Linked DNA regions of Schizosaccharomyces pombe. The main gene of each other region encodes a partner of the protein of the gene in region 4 in a complex. Each region holds a gene or a part of one and is shown on either strand. Other genes may lie near its edges.

Region 1 (4,005 bases), on a different chromosome or scaffold from region 4:
TAATTGCAGGTAAATATTTCACAATTAGAATACCTTACCATGGAAAACCCTTTCATCAGTAGATTCCTTCGACGCTCAAAACTTTCATCGAACATCTGTTTTACAACATTCGCTATTAGCTGCCCATATATTAGCTATCCCGAATAGAAAAAAATCAAAACAAAAATATATATACCTCTGACTGTGAGCATTTTGGAGAAGAAAATTGAACACCTTCATCTGGCTTACTGTCGAAGCCGACTACAGTCGAATGAAGAAAAATAGAAAAGGACGTTTGTACATCGCTTCTCAAGCGTTCGCATATATTGCTATACGAGCTTGCCGGCGACCCTCTCAAAACAAGTTGTACATAATCATTTAAGGTACATAGGTATACATATTGATTCTCTAGAAAGCGAAGAATCCTGCTTTTGGGGGTATGGTGTTCGGTCATGCAAGTTACAAGTAACCATTAAGCATAACTATATATATGCAAAGTGTCCTACTGATCATAACGTTTTAAATAAATAGTGACCGCAAATATTGATTAATATTTATAATTATAGGATTTTTTTTATATAATGATAGCTAATAAATGTTTTGCAAAGTATCTTTAAACTAATAACATTACACGAGTAGAATCACCAATCTTTCTACTACTATCAATTATAAGCGAAACTAATTTAGATTATTCATTAGGGGGAATAGTGAAAAAGGTACGATTCCAGGAGTAAAACGGAAAAAAGCCTAATACGAGATGATACATATTTGGAACAACATGAGAATAGAAAATAGAAAAATAAAACCGCGTTAAAGGAGTTGTAGTGGATAGAAATTTTTGAATATCTCAATCATGCTAGACGTGTGCAAGCATCAAAAAACTTTCGCGGATTACCACCACTAAGGACATGATTTTGCAAATAATTATCAACCTTTTCAAGGCAAACGTTGGATGATACCAAATACTCCATCATGCGACGTGACTCATCTAAAGTGTAAGGCTCCATGTTAAGAATATGCACGGACTGTAATGAATCTAATATAGTCTCATCAGAAGATTTGTAAGGATTTCTGTGAGCTACTCCAAGAGCTATATCCAATGACGGGGTAGAAACACGCGGTTGGCTAGAAGTAGCAGCTAAAACAGTACCACGATTAAAAGTAAGCGAACCCGAAATATATTTGAAAAGTAAATTAATAAAGTAAAAGTCTTTAGGGGGAAGGAAGTTGTTCTTTTTGTCCTTATACTTGGTAACGACCGATAAAATAGAAATATTATCGATCACTAATAACACCTTCATATTGGAATTTGACTTGGTATTGTTATTGAGTTCTTGTAAAAATATTTCCAGAGATTTAGGAGCGTTCGAGGAAGCAATTAGCTTATGAAGAAAGGAAAGTAAATCGGTACCAGCAGGAATGCATTCGTTCTGAAGCAACTCATGACTTTCAAAGGTCTTTAGCTTCTTAAGTTTATCAGAATTAGTTTTCATAACAGAAGTTAGAAATCCCTTAATTAAATCTGGTTGCACCCACAACTTGAGTTGCTCATCATAACCATAACTACTCGTTGAATTTACCCATCCTTCGCAGTTATGGACTGGCAAGACTATAAAATTAGGTTGTGATAAGGCGAAAAGTTCAGCTTGTATGAGAGCAATACTTCTTCCTGAACCTGGAGCACCATCAAGAAGAAAACGTCCGTCCTTCGTACCCTGGTCTTTGGAGCGCTGCAGTACATTCACTAATTCAGTTGTAATTTTCCTGTGCAAAAGGGAAGCACTGGTAAAAAAGGAGAAACTTTTTTTTTGTTTTTCTAAAGCCCCAAATCCATTAAGTTTATTAAGCAATTCCTCGGGGATTTTAAACATCTTACCTTCAGACTTGCTGGACCAAGACATATGCGGATGAATTTCAGAGGGCTTCACCTCTTCTAAAGTATTTTCTCCTTCATTTAAGAGATGATCCAATACAACGCTACTATTGGGAATAGTCGTCGATTTCTCTACTGACGAAGTTGAGGGGGGAATTTCATTAATTCTTGGCGCTTCCGAATTTTTTTGACGCTGCTGGTTAGAGCTTGAATGTATATTTCCTCCAACAGGTCTACCCGTATGCTGGTATTGTGAGGATGAATAGTATTTGTTAAATGTGCATTTTTCAAAAGTGTAGAGTCCTCCCAGTTTACTACCGCAAACAGTCAGTTTTCCACCGGACAGGATATTAGAAATTCTCTCTGTATTCTTAATAATACTACTTCTGCTTCTAAACTTCGGTAGCATTTTGTTAGAGGTATTTTTTTCTCGTAAATCTTAAGTATACATATCTGTTCTCACGTAAATGAAGAGACTGACTGCTTCCGGATGGTAAGTATTTACTGAGCTCTTAGCGCATTGCTAATATTTTTTAATAGGGTAGATTTGGCGTTCAGTAATAAAGAGAACTAACGTATTGCTAATAAGTGTCTCTACTTTTGCAAAAACTAAAGAATCGTAAAAGTTTTCTTACTTTCTTCGTTTGTCATAAAGAAAGTAAAAACAGTAGATTGCTGAACTGAAAGAGAGCTTTTTCTCTTATATATTCAGTAGTTTGATAAAAATTTTGGAGTTTGAAAGAAGAATTTCGTATCCTGAACCAACTTTTTAACAAATCAATTTTGCAGTCTTTTTTGAGAACTTTTTGTCACTTAATTGTATTATCAACCCTTTTTTTTTCCTTGTCCCTATTTCGTTAATCATGTCTGCACAAATAGAAAACTCCATTCCTCTAGATTTCGATTTGGGAAATATGGCTGCATTTGATATTTCTCCCTTAGATGAAACTAAGCTTAGCGGTTCAGAGAAAGAATCATTCCTTTTTTCTCTCAGTAGAGATAACGTTCAACAATTGGTGAACAAAATGATTTCCTTGCCTAAGGAGCGTACATCAGATGGCGTCCTTTTACAGCTTCCTGAAACTGTTACACCTCTTCCTCGTGCTAAACCTTTACCTAAACCCAAGCCCGAAACCAAATGGCAACGGTTTGCTCGTATTAAAGGTATTGCTCCTAAGAAGCGGGAAGGCAGGTTGGTGTTTGATGAAGCATCTGGTGAATGGGTACCAAAATGGGGTTATAAGGGTAAAAATAAGGAATTAGAGACACAATGGCTTGTTGAAGAGGGAGAAAAGGAAAAGAAGCTTACTTCCAAGCAAGTGAGAAATACCTCAAAAAAAATCAAGCGCTCTCGTCGCCATTAATTGGTCCTGCTTAAAAAAAATTTTTCTTAATTTAAAAATTTACTATAATTTAGCTATTCATGGGTTAAGTGGTATAATATCATTTTTATTTTGTTATTATCGTTTGTTTTTGTTTGCTACAACTAAAATCCCTTCTTCAATTGGGATATCAACGGGTACAGAAGGAATATGTAAGACATCGGTTATGTGGCTGCTTTGTTTACACATTTTTATGTGTTAAAAATTAACGAGCACTTTTTTGAAGCTGCTACTCGAAAATCGAACGTTAAAATGTTGAATGTTTACGAGTTAAGTGTAAAGTAAGTTTTAACAGCAACTGTTTTGATACACTGTGGGATTTCCTCCAATTGAATTTTCTAATAACCTCTTGTAAAAAAAGTTTCATACAGTTAAAATGCGACCATATCGTAGTTAATTATTATTTTCTGTATGCAGTCTTAAAAGGCTGGAACATCATATTAAGAGCCCAACTCATGGCTAACTGATATGCAACATTTTTGAAATGTTCAACAAACAGAATTTCATCAGACTCAACAATAACAATCCTTTCTAAATTACTATATAGATTGCAACATCAGTCTAAATATCTGAATGCATTAGTGGTGTAGCGGTAACATTGGAGCTTCCCATGCTCTAGCTCCGGGTTCGACTCCCGGCTGATGCAAATATAGCTGTGAATTTTTAAAAATATAATTGTTTATGTTCTAAAATTGGTTTTTGCATTTTCTATGAATGATATACTCAATCAAAACATATCCTTTTGAGTGGTAAACATAAATTTTTAGTAGA
Region 2 (4,770 bases), on a different chromosome or scaffold from region 4:
GTTCCTTCATACGTACTACTGTTTACCGTTTTAGGATTTTTTATTTTCATTCTTTTAGAACGAATCGCTGAATCCGAAGCTCGTAACTCAACGTCAGTTAGCGGTGGCATTTCTGCAAGGGAACAGCTTTTACGTCGAGGAAGTTTTTGATTTTACAACTTGAGTTCTAAACACCGGAGAGAGCAGTATCATCTCCTGTTATATTTTTCTTAACAAAAGTTTTTTGTATGCTTCTAAAGTCTGTTATTACTTGTTTGTCTTTTTTATTAAACACTTCGGAATTGACTTCAGAGCATTCAATATTATATTTCAAATGTCTACCACAACCATGAATATAGCTTCGGCTCCAATTGAAGTGAAACGGATATATTGGCCCAAAAGTACGATCTCTTATACCGATTCTGGTTACTTAGTTGGTTGGAAGTACTCTACCAACGATCTTATCGTTGTGACAACAATTACTAGTTATCAATCCTTCGCTAATTTTTTAGTTGATTATTGCAAAAATCAAGATCAATCAGTAGATATTAAATCTCTGTGTATATTAGGCACGTTTAATTGCTCTGCCGATATTTTGCCGGGTGACAAATATGAAATTGATTGTTGGATCAAAGTGCAGCAATCGACTGAGCTTTCTCATCCCCGAGTTTTCGATTCGGCTAGTACGCCTTTAAAAATAAATCTGCATATAATTTATTATCATCCTCCGCAGCCAAGAAAAATGCAATTTCTTTCCCTTGAACCTCTATCGCTTTTATTGTTAAAAGATAGTTTTATTAACAAGTCAAACCCTGAATACGAAAGCATGCAACACCAGCAAATACTGTTAAAAAAATTGAAATTGCACTTTCCCCGACGCAAAGAAAATAGCTGGAAAAGGAGTCTACGCTCAGGCTTAATTGAGCTTCTTAATCAATCCTTCGAGGTTCGCATGTTAACACATGAAAATAATAACAAAAAAAATTCATATGTTTTTCGACTTTTTGATCGTGTCTCGTCATCAACCTTTTATTTTTTTAATTCGCTGTTTGCTTACTTTATCATATTATTGAGGATAATTAATGAGGTTATACTCTTGGCGATTAATTACCGACCGATTCCTTTATCTTATAATATGATGGATATTTTCGTTTCTGCTCGTCAAGTAGATTTGAGGTTGCAACAAGCGTGTTTTTGGCCTGTACAATATATGAAATTATGGGTTTTTCGGAAAAGCAAGCGCGTTGCGATAGAGGATTACAAAGAATATATTAGATTCTATAACAACCTTTGGTTGGTTGCGAATGACATGATCTTTGGGATTACAATGAGTTCATTTATTTTAGAGAATCTTCATCTGGTGGTAAAATTAATAGAAAATATCACATTCGAGTATGCGATAAAAAACGTTCGTTCTATGGTTATATGGCTCGTGGATACTCCTGCTGGATTAAAACTAAACAACGACATTTGCAAGTTTATTATGAAGCTTTCTGTATGGGTTATTGACGTATGGAGTAATTTTCTTTTGCATTGTTTGCCTTGGACTCCATTTTTGGTTCAAGTTGTCGCTATTTCTGGGTTTGGGGGTGCTAGTTTAATGATCGCTTTAATTTCTGATTTTTTAAGTGTTATGACTATTCATATACATTTGCTTTATTTGGCTTCATCACGTTTGTATAATTGGCAGCTACGTGTAATTTATAGTTTGCTGCAGCTTTTTCGAGGAAAAAAAAGAAACGTTTTACGAAATAGAATCGACTCATATGAGTATGATTTAGACCAACTACTTTTAGGAACAATCCTTTTTACGGTACTAATATTCTTCTTACCTACAATATATGTTTTCTATGCAGCATTTGCATTAACACGAGTATCCGTGATGACATGCTTGGCAATCTGTGAAACTATGTTAGCCTTCCTGAATCACTTCCCATTATTTGTTACAATGTTACGAATTAAAGATCCTTATAGAATACCAAGTGGGCTGAATTTTGAGATAGTCAGCTTTGAACCATTAAAACAAGACGGCTTCGCAACGCTATATCTCAATTGCAACTCCAAACCGATGTCTCTTGGATCCATGTTTGAGCATTATCGGAAACTGGCGCGTAGGTTAATTTCGCATTACCTTTCAAAAACTACTTTGATTAGTTTGCTCGTAGGTTGCCCAGTTCCAGCGATACCTGCTGAGCAACTCTACAATATCCAGTACGCTATGCTTCCGACCAAAAGAATATCTATTAGAAAACTGCGAGATCTTCTTTTTCATCAGAAAAAATTTCCTTACGACTGATCAAAATGTTAAGTATTGTTGCACACAGTTGATATATAATATTTTTTGTTTATGAAACAACAAAATTTTTATAATTAAACTTAGTTTATCAGTTTCGTTCAAAGCTGTTTAGCCGTTACCCATTTGATAATAATTGGAAAGAAAATGTGCGAAATGTAACCGCAAAGTATTAGAAAGGCACAATTTTCAATTATTTATTTTTCTAAACAGGAGTTAGAAGGTTCCTAATTCGGTTTTATAGTAAGCTTTACATACTTTTTGACTTGGAGGCTCCTTTTCCTTGGCGTATTCTCCTAGTATTTTAATTAGCTAATTTCTTGTGAAAGAAACATTCAATCTCAATTAACAACTAACATACCCTTTCCTGATTTCCATTCGCAATTCCTCATCACTATCGGGAAATGTTTTATCATTTAAAAGGGTCCTTAATTGACGATAATTGATAGTTGCGGGATAGTAGCTCTTCAGTTTTGCTCCCTTCAGCTCTTGTACTACAAATTTGCGACCCGTTCTCGAGTTGTTTGATTTATACTGAGTGCCAAATATTTTTGATGAGAGAATATTTAATTCTTCCAGGATTGCTTTGCTAGCCATGATTTTATACCAAAAATTAGGGAAGGCTCCTAGGGAATGTGGTTGCTTAAAGTTAAAGGCAAAACGAAATAAAAACAACAATAATAAGGCTAAAGACACTACTATGATTTCATCTGCAAGGATTCTGAAATTCTGTTATTGTAAGTATTATTAGCGCAAGTCTACTTAGATATACTACAGCGGATGATGTGGGATAAGTAGTTCATCAACCCCACATGGAAACATTTTGGTGCATTGACTAAAGATAGACCTGTAAATAGGTTTAGTGGGATCAAGTACTTAATATTCTACGCTTTAAGAGGTTACGAGTAGTTAAGTAGAGTATAATAGACACCAAATAGTTGAACATATTCATATAGCGTATTATTTCCATTAGCTGTAATATAATATAATTGAAGTTCACTGGCTTTCAGATTACGTTAAAAAACTTACACGAATTTAGTAATATATACAATATAACATATATTAAGGATAAACGAAGCAAAACTATCCTGAAAGGTAGATATACCAACCCGGATAACCAATTGGAAAGATGGTTGGAAAAATCATATCTTCGCAAATAATTGCAAAGAAATTAAAACCATCTAAGACCCACACACAATAATCTGAGTCATTAAAGACAAGCATCTTAGATATTTACACTTTGTAGATAATGTAAAAATAATAGAAAGCGAAATACGTAGATATCAACTATTCGGAAAAGGGAAAAGAGCGGGTTTTATTAAACAGATGACTCAACAATTGAGCTTGTTATTTAATATACAAGCATTTTTTAGCAGCAGCAACAACAACATCGGCATTTGGGACAGAAGCAGCCTCAACAGGATGACTATAAGGCATGGGAACATCTGCCATACTTACACGTTCAACAGGAGCATCAAGATAATCAAATGCGTCAGACTCCATAATTTGAGCAGCAATTTCACTACCAATACCATGTTGACTATATGCCTGGTCAACAGTCACAATACGATTTGTCTTCTTAACACTGGCCGCGATAGTATTGATGTCTAAAGGACGAATACTACGCAAGTTTATAACTTCAGCTTCAACACCATAGTCAGCCTTGAGCTTGTCAGCTGCTTCTAAAGCAGTAACAACAGAAATAGACTCACCAACGATGGTGATATCTTTACCGGGGCGCTCCACCTTAGCAAGGCCAAAGGGAAGCACAAAGTCCTCGCTCAACGCTTCTTTCGAAATTGGAAAGGTTTTACCATAAAGAATTTCGTTTTCAAGTACAACAACGGGATTAGGATCACGAATAGCAGCCTTCAACAAACCACGAGCATCTTCTGCTGAGTAAGGAGAAACTACTTTAAGACCAGGGATACTACCATACCATGGAGCAAAGTGTTGAGAATGCTGAGCAGCAACTGCAGCGGCAGGCCCATTAGGTCCACGGAAGACAATAGGACAAGCCTGAATACCACCAGACATGTACAGGGTTCTGGCGGCCGAGTTAACGATATGATCGATAGCCTGCATGGAAAAATTGAAAGTCATAAACTCACAAATAGGACGTAAACCAGCAAAAGCAGCACCTGTTGCCAAACCAGTAAAACCCATTTCAGTAATGGGAGTGTCGATAACACGTTTAGGACCAAACTTGTCTAATAAACCTCTAGATATCTTATAAGCACCATTGTATTGCGCAACCTCTTCGCCAATCAAGAAGACACGATCGTCACGTTTCATTTCTTCTTCCATTGCACTGTTCAAAGCATCACGAACGGTCATTTCCTTCACTCCATTGGAAGAAGAAGAATAGCGCTTTGCGATGGTTGAACTAAGAAGTTTCCAAGAACGACTGGTCCCAACAATTTCACCAAACTTTTGAAGACGAATCATTTTAAATTCCCTCAAACTTCTTTTTAACTTCGTTAAAAATTAGGGCTATC
Region 3 (6,281 bases), on a different chromosome or scaffold from region 4:
TCGAGAGAAAAGTAAAATGATCCATTTGTTAATAGCTTTCTGAGACTACTGAATGGTTCAGCGGCATACTTGTAAGAATCATAGCCTTGGGTATCGGTATCGTAACCATCCGGAATATCAGGCGAGTAATTTTCTTGTCGAATGTGATCCCAGTTTGAACGATTAACACTGTAAAAGCAGACCTCCATGATACGAAAAACTCTTTCTTTATCTCGCACACGTGCTACCTCACTAGCTCCACTAATCACGCACAAAAAATTGGACCCTTCTAATTCAATCAGACCTAGAGTACCATAAATTCGATGACTGGAGATTTTTCGAAATCCTTCTAACGGCTTTTCTGACAATGCCGTAAATTCTGCAACACATACTGATAAAGAGTTTTTGTTCTGAGGAACCGAATGAAACATAAGAGCATGGTCCTTATTGACTAAGGCCAAGGATCTTGGCTTTTCCCTCAGCAGACATTGCATCTTAAGATTCACAAATGTGAACTATAAATAATAAAATTCGTTCTGTAATGAACGATGCAAGTCTTTACCAACGATGTTTGTCCGAACAAGTTATAAATCTTGGGATACGAAGTTGGGTGGTGTTGGGTGACAAAAACGTTCGTTACTTAAACATTATAGAAGCGCTTCTGTAAATTAGAATAAGTAAACGGCTTATTTTAATTTACTATGTTAAAATGTATTCCAAAAAATTTTGGTTCTAATATATGGAAGTTTCTGGTCAATTTTTAAAGTGCATTTGCTTTACAAAACTCGTAACCCTTGTAAACATATTTCATTGATTATGGGTAGAAAACCATTGAAACAAGAAAATCATAAGAGAAGCGATCTTGCTAAAACGTAACGTAACAGGATTTCAAGGCACTTCCATAAGATTGGTACTGTCAAAAAATGTATTATAATTCACTTTCGTTCATCAACAGTGCCATTGTTAATTTCAAAAACACCAAGTTGCACAAGAATACAGCGGTTACTCCAACGTATTAAAAATAAAAGTCAAACAGATACAGTATTCGGCAGAAAAAACCCCCATCTTAAGAGCTAAGATTATTTGAGCTCTCCGAAGATGTTCGCTGACGCTGAATAGCTTCAACTATGGCAATTTTTTACATTTCAAATGTGTTGGTTACTGTAATAGTATGTTTAATCTCGCAAATAGTGGTTATTGTATTGTAGCCACTTGAACCGAATGCTTATTAATTGAAAGGTTAGATGTTTTTTGCAATACAGTTAATTTCCACAAATAGAGCAGCAAAGTATAGTACTCATTGTGGCTACGTCGAGAATAAGTATCCAACTTGCTAGCCAATTCCGAGTAATCAGCGCACATCTAAAAATTAAGATTGGGTTTCCGGCATTGATATTGTCACTTTTTAGAAGGCTCGATCGATACTTATAATCTTGATTTTTCAGAAAAATTAAAGAAAAAATTTTCCTGGCTGGAGCATATTGATATTCCAACAGTCTGCAATTCGATTTTGACTCGAAGTGTTTGTTCCTTGCTTAGGTCCCTGGCTTTACTTTAATATAGGCACTTTTCATGAGAATCCATTGAAATTGTACGTTTTCTAAAGCCATAAAAATTTAAGTTAGGTCTCCTCTGTAAATTGTCGTGAATATTTCATAAGTGAGACAAGTCGTAATGGCGTTACTAAATAGGTTGGCAAAAACCTTTTCCCCTTATTATGGATTAAACAAAGTTGAACAAAAGCTTTTAATAAAAATAGATTGGTTCATACTTTCTTACTGTTGCGTTTCATATTTTATTAATTACTTGGATAGATCATCAATAAACAATGCATACCTTAGTGGTATGCAAGAGGATTTGAAAATGCATGGTAATGAATTGCAAGATATAAACGTTGTTTTTACATGTGGATACATTATAGGACAATTGCCAGGTTCTTATGCATTACAGAGAGTACCAGCAAGACTTTGGTTTTCGGTTATGAATATTTTATGGGGACTTATGACGATTTTTTCATTTGCGGTACATTCCGTTCGAGCATTGATGATTTTACGCTTTTTCATGGCGGTTGCGGAGGCATCTACATTTGCTGGTACGCATTATATATTGGGCGCATGGTACAAAGAAAGTGAACTATGCAAACGTGCCGGAATTTTTTCAGCCTCTGGTTTAGTCGGCACAATGTTTGCTGGGTATTTGCAAACAGCAGTTCATTCATCATTAAATGGTAAAGGTGGTTTATCTGGTTGGCGTTGGCTTTTTATAATTGATGGCATTTTGACGATTCCTCTTTCATTATATGGGCTCTTTCTGTTTCCTGACGTTCCAGAAACAACCAAGGCTCCTTATTTTACAGAACAAGAAAAAGAATTAAGTTTCAAAAGGCTACCCGCTCGCCCCAAGAAGAAGCCATTAACGCTAAAAGCGATAAAGGATATTGTACGTTCATGGCGAATTTACGGTTTGTGCATCCTTTGGATTTTTAGCGGAGAAACACAAGCTATAGCTGTCAATGTATTGATGGGTCAGTGGATGAAATGGAGCAACAAATTTTCTGTTGCCCAAATAAATAATTACCCAACTGTGATTACAGCTGTTGGCGTAGTATCAACGTTAGGTGCTAGTGTTATTTCTGATAAATTAGCTGGAAACCCAAGATGGCCTTTTGGACTTTTTCTGTGCGTAATTACTACTGTTTCTGCTACAATACTTCTAGCATGGAACGTGCCAGATGGCGCAAAATTCTTTGCTTATTTCGCTTCTGGTTGTACATATGCTGGACAAGCAGTTTGGTTTTCTTGGGCAAATGACATTTGCCGGGATAATGATCAGGAAAGAGGAGTTGTTGTGTTTTTGATGAATATGTGTCAGAATATCTGGCATATTTGGTGGGCACCTATAATGTATCCCAATACTGATACGCCTCGATTTATAAAAGGATTAATTGGTTTGCTGGTGGTAGGAGGAATAGTCTTTGTTAGCTCTTGTATTGTTAGTTACATGCAAATCCGCGATAAAAGAATTAAACGATCCATCCAGGATGCAAAAGATTTCGATGATGTATTCACTGAGCATGAAAGTTTAGAGTTAAAAAAAATAGGCAAAAATGATGAGGAATCACTCAACACAACTAATGCGGTCAAAGAAATTAGTTCTCCAGGGCTTGTGATAACGCGACAGCGAATTTCCATGCCAAAAGAAACGAATGCCCAAGATTAGTACTAGAAGATTAATGACATAGTATAAATATTCCTTATGCCTTTAAGTACACATTTAGAGTAAATTTGCTGTTCATATTGATATCAACCTAACATAAAAATTTACCACAGTTGGCTCATCTAATTGACCAAGCCCTTTGACGCAAACGCAAACGAATACCTTTGCACACATACTCAAAAAGAATCTGCTAACAAACGATTTAAGGTGCAGCTGAAGTTAAAAATTTATAACCATTAAATAGAAATACCAACTATACGTATAGTTTGGATGGTATCCGGCAATGATCAACAAGTTATTGAGTATACATCAGTCCTAAAGGAATTTAGCGATGGTGTAGACTTAATGGAGCTAAAAGAAAATTTTTTATATATTAGGACTAGAGAAAAAATTGAAGCTAAATTAATCTGGGCAGGAGAGTGGGAATGGAAGCCCGTGAACGAAACAAATGAAAATAACTTGGAAAGAGGGAGACAATACCCTAGCGCCAATTCCGCACTAATGGAAAATTCTCCAGAATTTGCTAAATGGTTTCATGGACAATTGTTTAATCGGCTTTGCGTTCTAGGCTCCACATCTTCGTCGAGAAAAGACATGCTTTGAACAGTGTTGGCTATTTTAAGCAAATTTTAGATTAATTCGAACTCAAGCAAAAACTCAACTACAAAAAGAAGAAAGAATGTCTCAAAAGAATATAATATTCCATATACTTATTATTTACGTTTGCGTCGCTCACCTCCATTCTTTTTAACCATAACTGGATATGGCTTAACTATAAACCCTTCTTTAAATCGGTTTCTTTGGCTTGCAATGTATTTCCTTGTACGTACATCAATACCTTCCTTTTTCATAGTTTTTGTACTTTTCCTAAATAGACCATCCCAAGACTCGAATTTTCCGTTCACTTTTTCTGCAGTATCTCTTCCAATTCTTTTAAAGAAATCATTTGTATTAGAAATCCCTGAATCTTGTTAGGAATTTAAATTGCACTAATGTTTTGAAATCTCATACCTGATCTTGGACTAGGAACAGTAGAGGCATACCGGCAGTTAGAAAAAGGAAATATAAAATTTCTTATAATGAAAATCCTCTTCAAGATCAACATATTTACCAGTATTGTTTTAAAAATATTTGGTTGTTTAAATAAGTTGTGTACAGTTTCTGGAACGTATGCGAAAGTCTCACAAACGTACTAGCGACTCATAGTGCGACCATGTCAAGCTTAGTGCCTGCAATTATTAGCTATATAAATCCTTGCTTTTAATTCTTTTATGAGATTTACTGCATGCAAACTTTCAAGTCCCTTGAATATCTCAAACTTCTACTTCCGAAAAGTCATTACGTGTCTATTAACTAATCAATACAGTGAATCTACAAATTCCTAATTGCGGTTTTTGTATAGCAGGAACTCGTATTTTGAACATATAAATTACCAGTTATATTTTCGGGTGAATTTTTTGAAGACTCTACTATGTGTATTTAAAGCCCACTTACTTTAATTGTAAAAACATTAATTTAACTAATTATAGTGAATGTCTGACTCTAAGCTATTTATCAACGCATTCCAACCACCCACGAGTTTGTTAAGTATACAACAAAAGCACAATTTCTAATCACAGTATTGGAGATGTTTTTTAAAAATGAATGTCGATAATAATAAAGGCAATATTCCAGAGCTCCTTTGGAATGGCACTATTTCTGTGCGCATTGATTATGAAGGTAATTCTCTGGCCTATCTAGTATGTGATTTGTTCACTCAAGTAGTAATTTAATATTCTTTAACTCAATTTATTTTTTCCTTTTTGCTCACCATATTCTACCTAAGGCTAACGTCCCGCGACAATCATATTTTGCTCAAATACTCCCAAATGTTCAACGTCTGTTGGCACCTTCAATCCCTTTATCAGAATGTTGGTTGGATTATAATGGGGTTCCTCTTAAATGGTATCGTTTACCCAAAGTAACTTTCCGTAAATTAATCATAATATAGGCATTGGCCTGTTGGCTTACTTTTCGATTTGTTAACAGTGTTTGATCCGGATACTCCTCGAGCGCCGGTGCTATGGCGCATTCAATTGCGCTCAGGTCTATTTCCTACAACCAAAATACTTCAAATGGAAACCATGGATACTTTTCGAACATATTTTTTCAACTGCTTAAAAGAGGTGCGTTCTCTATCACAAAAACATATATGATTTATTTACAAAAGGGGTAAATCCATATTAACTTTTTACAGTCTGATTACGTTCGTAACGGAAGTTCGTCTGGAATAATCGCTCTTTCAAAGGCAGAAACAGACACCTACTGGAATGCAATACTCAATCATGATTACTATGATTTCCGTCCCATTGCTATAAAAATACTTTTTTCAAAATCCAAATTCATTCCTTTAAAAATTTATTTAGGGGCCAATGCTCCTATTATACAAACTTCTGCACCTCTTGGTAGTTCTCTTGGTGAGTTTCTCAATAAACGCCTTCCCGACTTGTTTCCATCATGTGATAAATTCTTAATAGTTAAACCAGTTATTCATGGTATTACAATTTTTCTTCAGAGCGTTTTAGACGAGCTCAATCGAGATTTCTGTTACATTGATGGGTTTTTACATATTGTTTTAATGAAAGTTTAAAACATTTACGTCTCTTCTCTAGCTCCTTTAGATAATTTGTTATTCATGTACAAATAATTTTAAGATTTGTATACCCATGCAGTCTAGCAATGACTTTACAATGACATTAAGGTGCGTTTGAGTACTCCTTTCCCTAAACAAACTGCTTTTTAAGAAGTAGGAAATGCAACGAGATATAGCATTGATAATTTGACTATGAAAATTTCTTTTTAATGAGAAGTCGTAGATTATGAAGACCCATTGGCAGCAACACCAGATGTTACTGTCTCAACAACACCCTGAAGACGGTAATATTTCTCATATGGAGATTCACCAGACTTGATTTTTGCTTCATTCACAGAAATACCAGGGTGACCGTTAGTGCTTAAAAGCCTAGTACTAACCTGTTTCAAATCTTGTCCTTCATCGAGCTTTTTCCAGTGGGATTCCCGTACACTAAAAGGCCCAAAGACATCTC
Region 4 (3,788 bases):
CCTTAGCAGTATATATAGTTGAGACATTTCCCGTTGATCAGTTTTATTTAAAGCATCCTATTTTGATTCACACTCAACCAAATGCTGAACTCACTTTAGACTTGACAAATGAGGTATTACTAGCGAGTCATCTTCAGTGTGCTGCATATGAGCTTCCCATTAACATAAGGAGCGACGAAAAGTTTTTTGGAAATCAAATTCAAGACATTTGCGAAGCAAATTTAGAAATGGTTGAAGAGAGTTATCGGCCTCATCCAAAATATCTTCCTTTTCCTGCCTCGCAGGTACGGATACGAAGCGTTAGTGAAGACATGTTTACTCTCGTCGATGTCACAAATGATAAGAATGTTATTCTAGAACTCCTCGAACCTTTTCGTGTTGCATTAACTGCTTACGAAGGTGCAGTTTATGTTTATCAAGGAAAAACGTTTATCATTAGGCTCCTAAATATTAACAAGAGAATTATTACTGCTCATCAAGTTGATGTTGAATGGTCAACATTGCAAAGAGATTTCACAGATGTTGATCCTGTTCGCAGCTTAATGAAGAAGACTATGCATGGAAGTACAAACATTTATTTTGGGGCTGTTAAAGCAACATTACATGTATTTGGGTATTTCAAAGTTAACAAGCAGAAAGATATTCTGGACGTGGTAGATATTACCGATCATCCTGTTGAAATTGATAGTCGAGGTTTCTGGATAGATGTACCTTGGCATATCATTGAGGTTTTGTCATTAAAAAAAATAAATGGAGCCGCTAGTATACATGCTGCCCAACATGCTTTACTTTCGTTGATGCCAATTTTTATTAGTAACAGCGGTAACGATATTCGAACAGAATGTAAAGCGGGTGAAAAGGAGTATAAAGAGGCTAAAAGCGAGCGAAGACGTCCTTCCCGACTCATTTTCTATGATAATTGTGGTGATTCATCTGGTGCTGGTTTATGCAACAAGGCATATGAACATACTGATGAATTAATTACAATGGCCATTGAGCGAATTGAGAGTTGCGATTGCAAAGTTCGTGAAGGTTGTCCCGGATGTATTACGAGTTCAAAATTTGAAGGCGGAGTTTGCTCTGGAGAAGTACTTGACAAGGGTAAGTATAGATATACTTTGCATTTTTTGTTGGACGGTGAAGCAATCCCGTATAGATTGGTCGCTTAGTAGTTTGTAAGATAACACTCTCATTTTTTTTATGATCAAATGAAAAGGGATTGCTTGCAAACTTAAATAGATTATTCACATTACTTCTACTAACATATTTCTTTCAGTTGGCGCTTTAATCTTATTGAAAATGCTACTGTGTCAACATGTAAATTTAGATATATATGCTGATGGACCAGAGATTGATTCATATCACGCTTTGCGAACTTTAATACCTTCTTGTTAATAATTGAATTTATTTTTTTTATTTTGTTTATATTAGACTAAATTATTAGTTAGTACTACTAATATTGCGTTGTGCTTTTTGATTTTACATTTAAACCCTACCCTAACTTACCGGAGTCAATGTTAGATACTGACAGCGCTCAGTGCTTACTACCGTACAGCCACCGTTCTCCTCATAGAAGCCAAGTCCCAATATAAATCTTGAATTTTTGTAAAAATATGAGTTTTGCACAAATTCTCCGTGGCTCGAGGGCAATGGCTTCTCCAAAATGTCTTCCAGAATCCAATTATTCAACATCACACCTTCGGTTTCCTCGATTGCAATCCATAACTTCAAAAAAAAATAGTAGAGCTCGTGGTGATTGGGGACTGAAAAGGACTCTTCCAAAAATAAAGACAAGATACATATGTGTGCGGCAGCAAGATTCCTTATACAAGCAAGCAGATTTTCAATCAAGCGCTAAATTTGTTCGTCTAGTTCGCAATTGGTTTGATGCTGGATTTGTACGAGATCCTTCTGAAGTTGCTTTGTTGCAAGAATTATTGAAAGAAACGGGGTTGAAAGATACGCGTGACATAAATAAGGTATTTTCTCCTTCTAAACAATCCGACGAAAATGATAACTTTCGCCGTTACGGAGTTTCTGGCGGTATTCAATACAGTAATGTTCCTTTAATTAATTCTCGAGTAACACCTAATTGTGAATCAAATTGTTCCAATATTCGACGTCGACTTACGGCCCATATAATTAGTTCAGATGCCTCTACTGCATACTACGGTTTAGGGGGCTTGATTCTGAGGCTACCTCGAACAGTTGTCTTTAATAGAAATCGGTCATCTCCCCTCTTTTCCCAGGAACAGCGCATTTCTTATACAGTCTATAAAAATGGTCGACTCCGACTAGTTCCCTTTTCCGGTCCCGAGTTAGAAACACATCTTGCCTATCCCTCGGAAGACTCGGAGGTTGAATCGTTTTTTAACAGAGATATTCAATTGGTAGCCAAAAGAGATTCATCTCTCGATGCTCCCGTATCCTATCAACGGGGTATTATGAAATTTTTTATGGCTCCCTCTCAAACCTCAAATAATGAAGCTAATTCCTCAGAGAAAGATAACCTCTCTAATTCGTAGAGGACTTTATGATCATGTGCATTTATGCTATCTCCTTATGGTTTACTCGATTTTAAGTTGCATTTAACAACCTATCATTTTTATTATTAAGAAGGTTCGTTTAAGTCTCCTATATTCTGTTGTTATCCCACAGTACAATCTACCACTAGCAATAATCTTAACGACATACGATTCTCCTTTAAAAAATCTTTCAATCTATTTATTCTTACTTCTCTTTGTGTGGCATCAAATTCTTGTACCAATAATGGGTCTATTGCTTCAAATGACTCTTACACTTTCCATTTGTTTCCCTATTTACTAGTTTACCCTAAACTGCGTTTTGCACTTGACGGTTGTTCATTTTGGTGAACAGTCATAACACTTGAACTGAATGTGTTTTCTAAGAAGTTTGTTTGGTTTGCAATGTTACATCCTTGTTCTCTGGGTGTTAGTGAAAGTCACTCTCGTTAATCTTGACTAGGTATATATTTCAGTTAACCGTTATTTTCGGTTTCACCTCGAAATAAATGTTTTTTGTTGATTATATAAGCGCAAGCGTTTGAAAAAAGAGTTAGAATTTTGTAAAGGATTTTTTTTTTCCGAAATTGTCTTTAAGTACAGTTCAATAACTTACAAAATCTTATCCTTTTACCATACATTGTTAATTGTGCATTTCAACTGTTTAATTAGATATAACTGATTATTAGCATATACTATAAAAATGACTGTAGATGTGTATATATATTTCAAAAGTTGAATCACATAGCCCAATCTTTGGTATATATGTGAATATAATTCAGCAAACAACTTCCACGAGATATAAGTCTTCTAAAAACATAGGGCGTGTCGTCAAAAAATGATATAAATAATCCCAATCGTCAAAGATATATCAGTGAAAGAATATACTGACAGACGATCATTAAGGACTATTCAAATCTGCTTCGCAATTGAACAATTTAAAAAAATGAGTGCTGCTCTTTAGGAAGTTTGAGTTATTTGTGATAAAATGATAAGAACTTAAAACCATAGTAAAATAATTACCATTAATTCCAACCAAGCCAAGATCGACGCATTACACGCCACACAGTAACTTCTCCACTCTTTAAATCACCGAATTTGTAGCTTGCAACTGAAACCTTCTTGGACTCTCTGCCTTGTTCCAACACCCTAATCTTCAGTTTCGAAACATCCCACTCTGATATGATACCATAATGCATGGGCTTACCAACTTCAAGAGAGTATTTTGAACGAAGAGTACCTTTTTGTCCACTAAATTTAGCCTTA

What was found.
Region 1: mrp51 (region 4) and rsm23 share a complex: the UniProt entries of both Schizosaccharomyces pombe proteins name them as parts of the mitochondrial small ribosomal subunit.
Region 2: mrp51 (region 4) and rsm27 share a complex: the UniProt entries of both Schizosaccharomyces pombe proteins name them as parts of the mitochondrial small ribosomal subunit.
Region 3: mrp51 (region 4) and fyv4 share a complex: the UniProt entries of both Schizosaccharomyces pombe proteins name them as parts of the mitochondrial small ribosomal subunit.

The regions. Positions count from the first base shown.
Region 1 is NC_003423.3:2,065,678-2,069,682, forward strand, and holds rsm23 (mitochondrial 37S ribosomal protein mS29), read right to left. Parts: upstream 2,314-4,005; 5' UTR 2,262-2,313; coding exon 831-2,261; 3' UTR 510-830; downstream 1-509. Other genes in the region: telomerase reverse transcriptase 1 protein Trt1, read right to left, coding at 39-119, 176-433; ribosome biogenesis protein Rrs1, read left to right, coding at 2,716-3,216. UniProt on the Schizosaccharomyces pombe protein: Component of the mitochondrial ribosome (mitoribosome), a dedicated translation machinery responsible for the synthesis of mitochondrial genome-encoded proteins, including at least some of the essential transmembrane subunits of the mitochondrial respiratory chain.
Region 2 is NC_003423.3:3,070,493-3,075,262, reverse strand, and holds rsm27 (mitochondrial 37S ribosomal protein mS33), read right to left. Parts: upstream 3,010-4,770; 5' UTR 2,870-3,009; coding exon 2,634-2,869; intron 2,569-2,633; coding exon 2,531-2,568; intron 2,478-2,530; coding exon 2,470-2,477; 3' UTR 2,276-2,469; downstream 1-2,275. Other genes in the region: gpi1 (pig-Q), read left to right, coding at 314-2,275; pyruvate dehydrogenase e1 component beta subunit Pdb1, read right to left, coding at 3,620-4,720. UniProt on the Schizosaccharomyces pombe protein: Component of the mitochondrial ribosome (mitoribosome), a dedicated translation machinery responsible for the synthesis of mitochondrial genome-encoded proteins, including at least some of the essential transmembrane subunits of the mitochondrial respiratory chain.
Region 3 is NC_003423.3:3,431,745-3,438,025, reverse strand, and holds fyv4 (mitochondrial 37S ribosomal protein mS41 ), read right to left. Parts: upstream 4,359-6,281; 5' UTR 4,301-4,358; coding exon 4,207-4,300; exon of another isoform or gene 4,157-4,206; coding exon 3,909-4,156; 3' UTR 3,799-3,908; coding exon of another isoform or gene 3,466-3,798; 3' UTR 3,199-3,465; coding exon of another isoform or gene 1,654-3,198; 3' UTR 518-1,653; downstream 1-517. Other genes in the region: syj1 (inositol-1,4,5-trisphosphate 5-phosphatase 1), read right to left, coding at 1-473; plasma membrane pantothenate transmembrane transporter Liz1, read left to right, coding at 1,654-3,198; SPOM_SPBC4B4.12C (uncharacterized protein), read left to right, coding at 3,466-3,798; autophagy-associated protein Atg5, read left to right, coding at 4,836-4,934, 5,021-5,139, 5,186-5,360, 5,432-5,824; U1 snRNP-associated protein Prp39, read right to left, coding at 6,052-6,281. UniProt on the Schizosaccharomyces pombe protein: Component of the mitochondrial ribosome (mitoribosome), a dedicated translation machinery responsible for the synthesis of mitochondrial genome-encoded proteins, including at least some of the essential transmembrane subunits of the mitochondrial respiratory chain.
Region 4 is NC_003424.3:4,111,422-4,115,209, reverse strand, and holds mrp51 (mitochondrial 37S ribosomal protein bS1m), read left to right. Parts: upstream 1-1,551; 5' UTR 1,552-1,613; coding exon 1,614-2,525; 3' UTR 2,526-3,240; downstream 3,241-3,788. Other genes in the region: RecQ type DNA helicase Hrq1, read left to right, coding at 1-1,101, 1,277-1,395; bbc1 (SH3 domain-containing protein), read right to left, coding at 3,548-3,788. UniProt on the Schizosaccharomyces pombe protein: Component of the mitochondrial ribosome (mitoribosome), a dedicated translation machinery responsible for the synthesis of mitochondrial genome-encoded proteins, including at least some of the essential transmembrane subunits of the mitochondrial respiratory chain.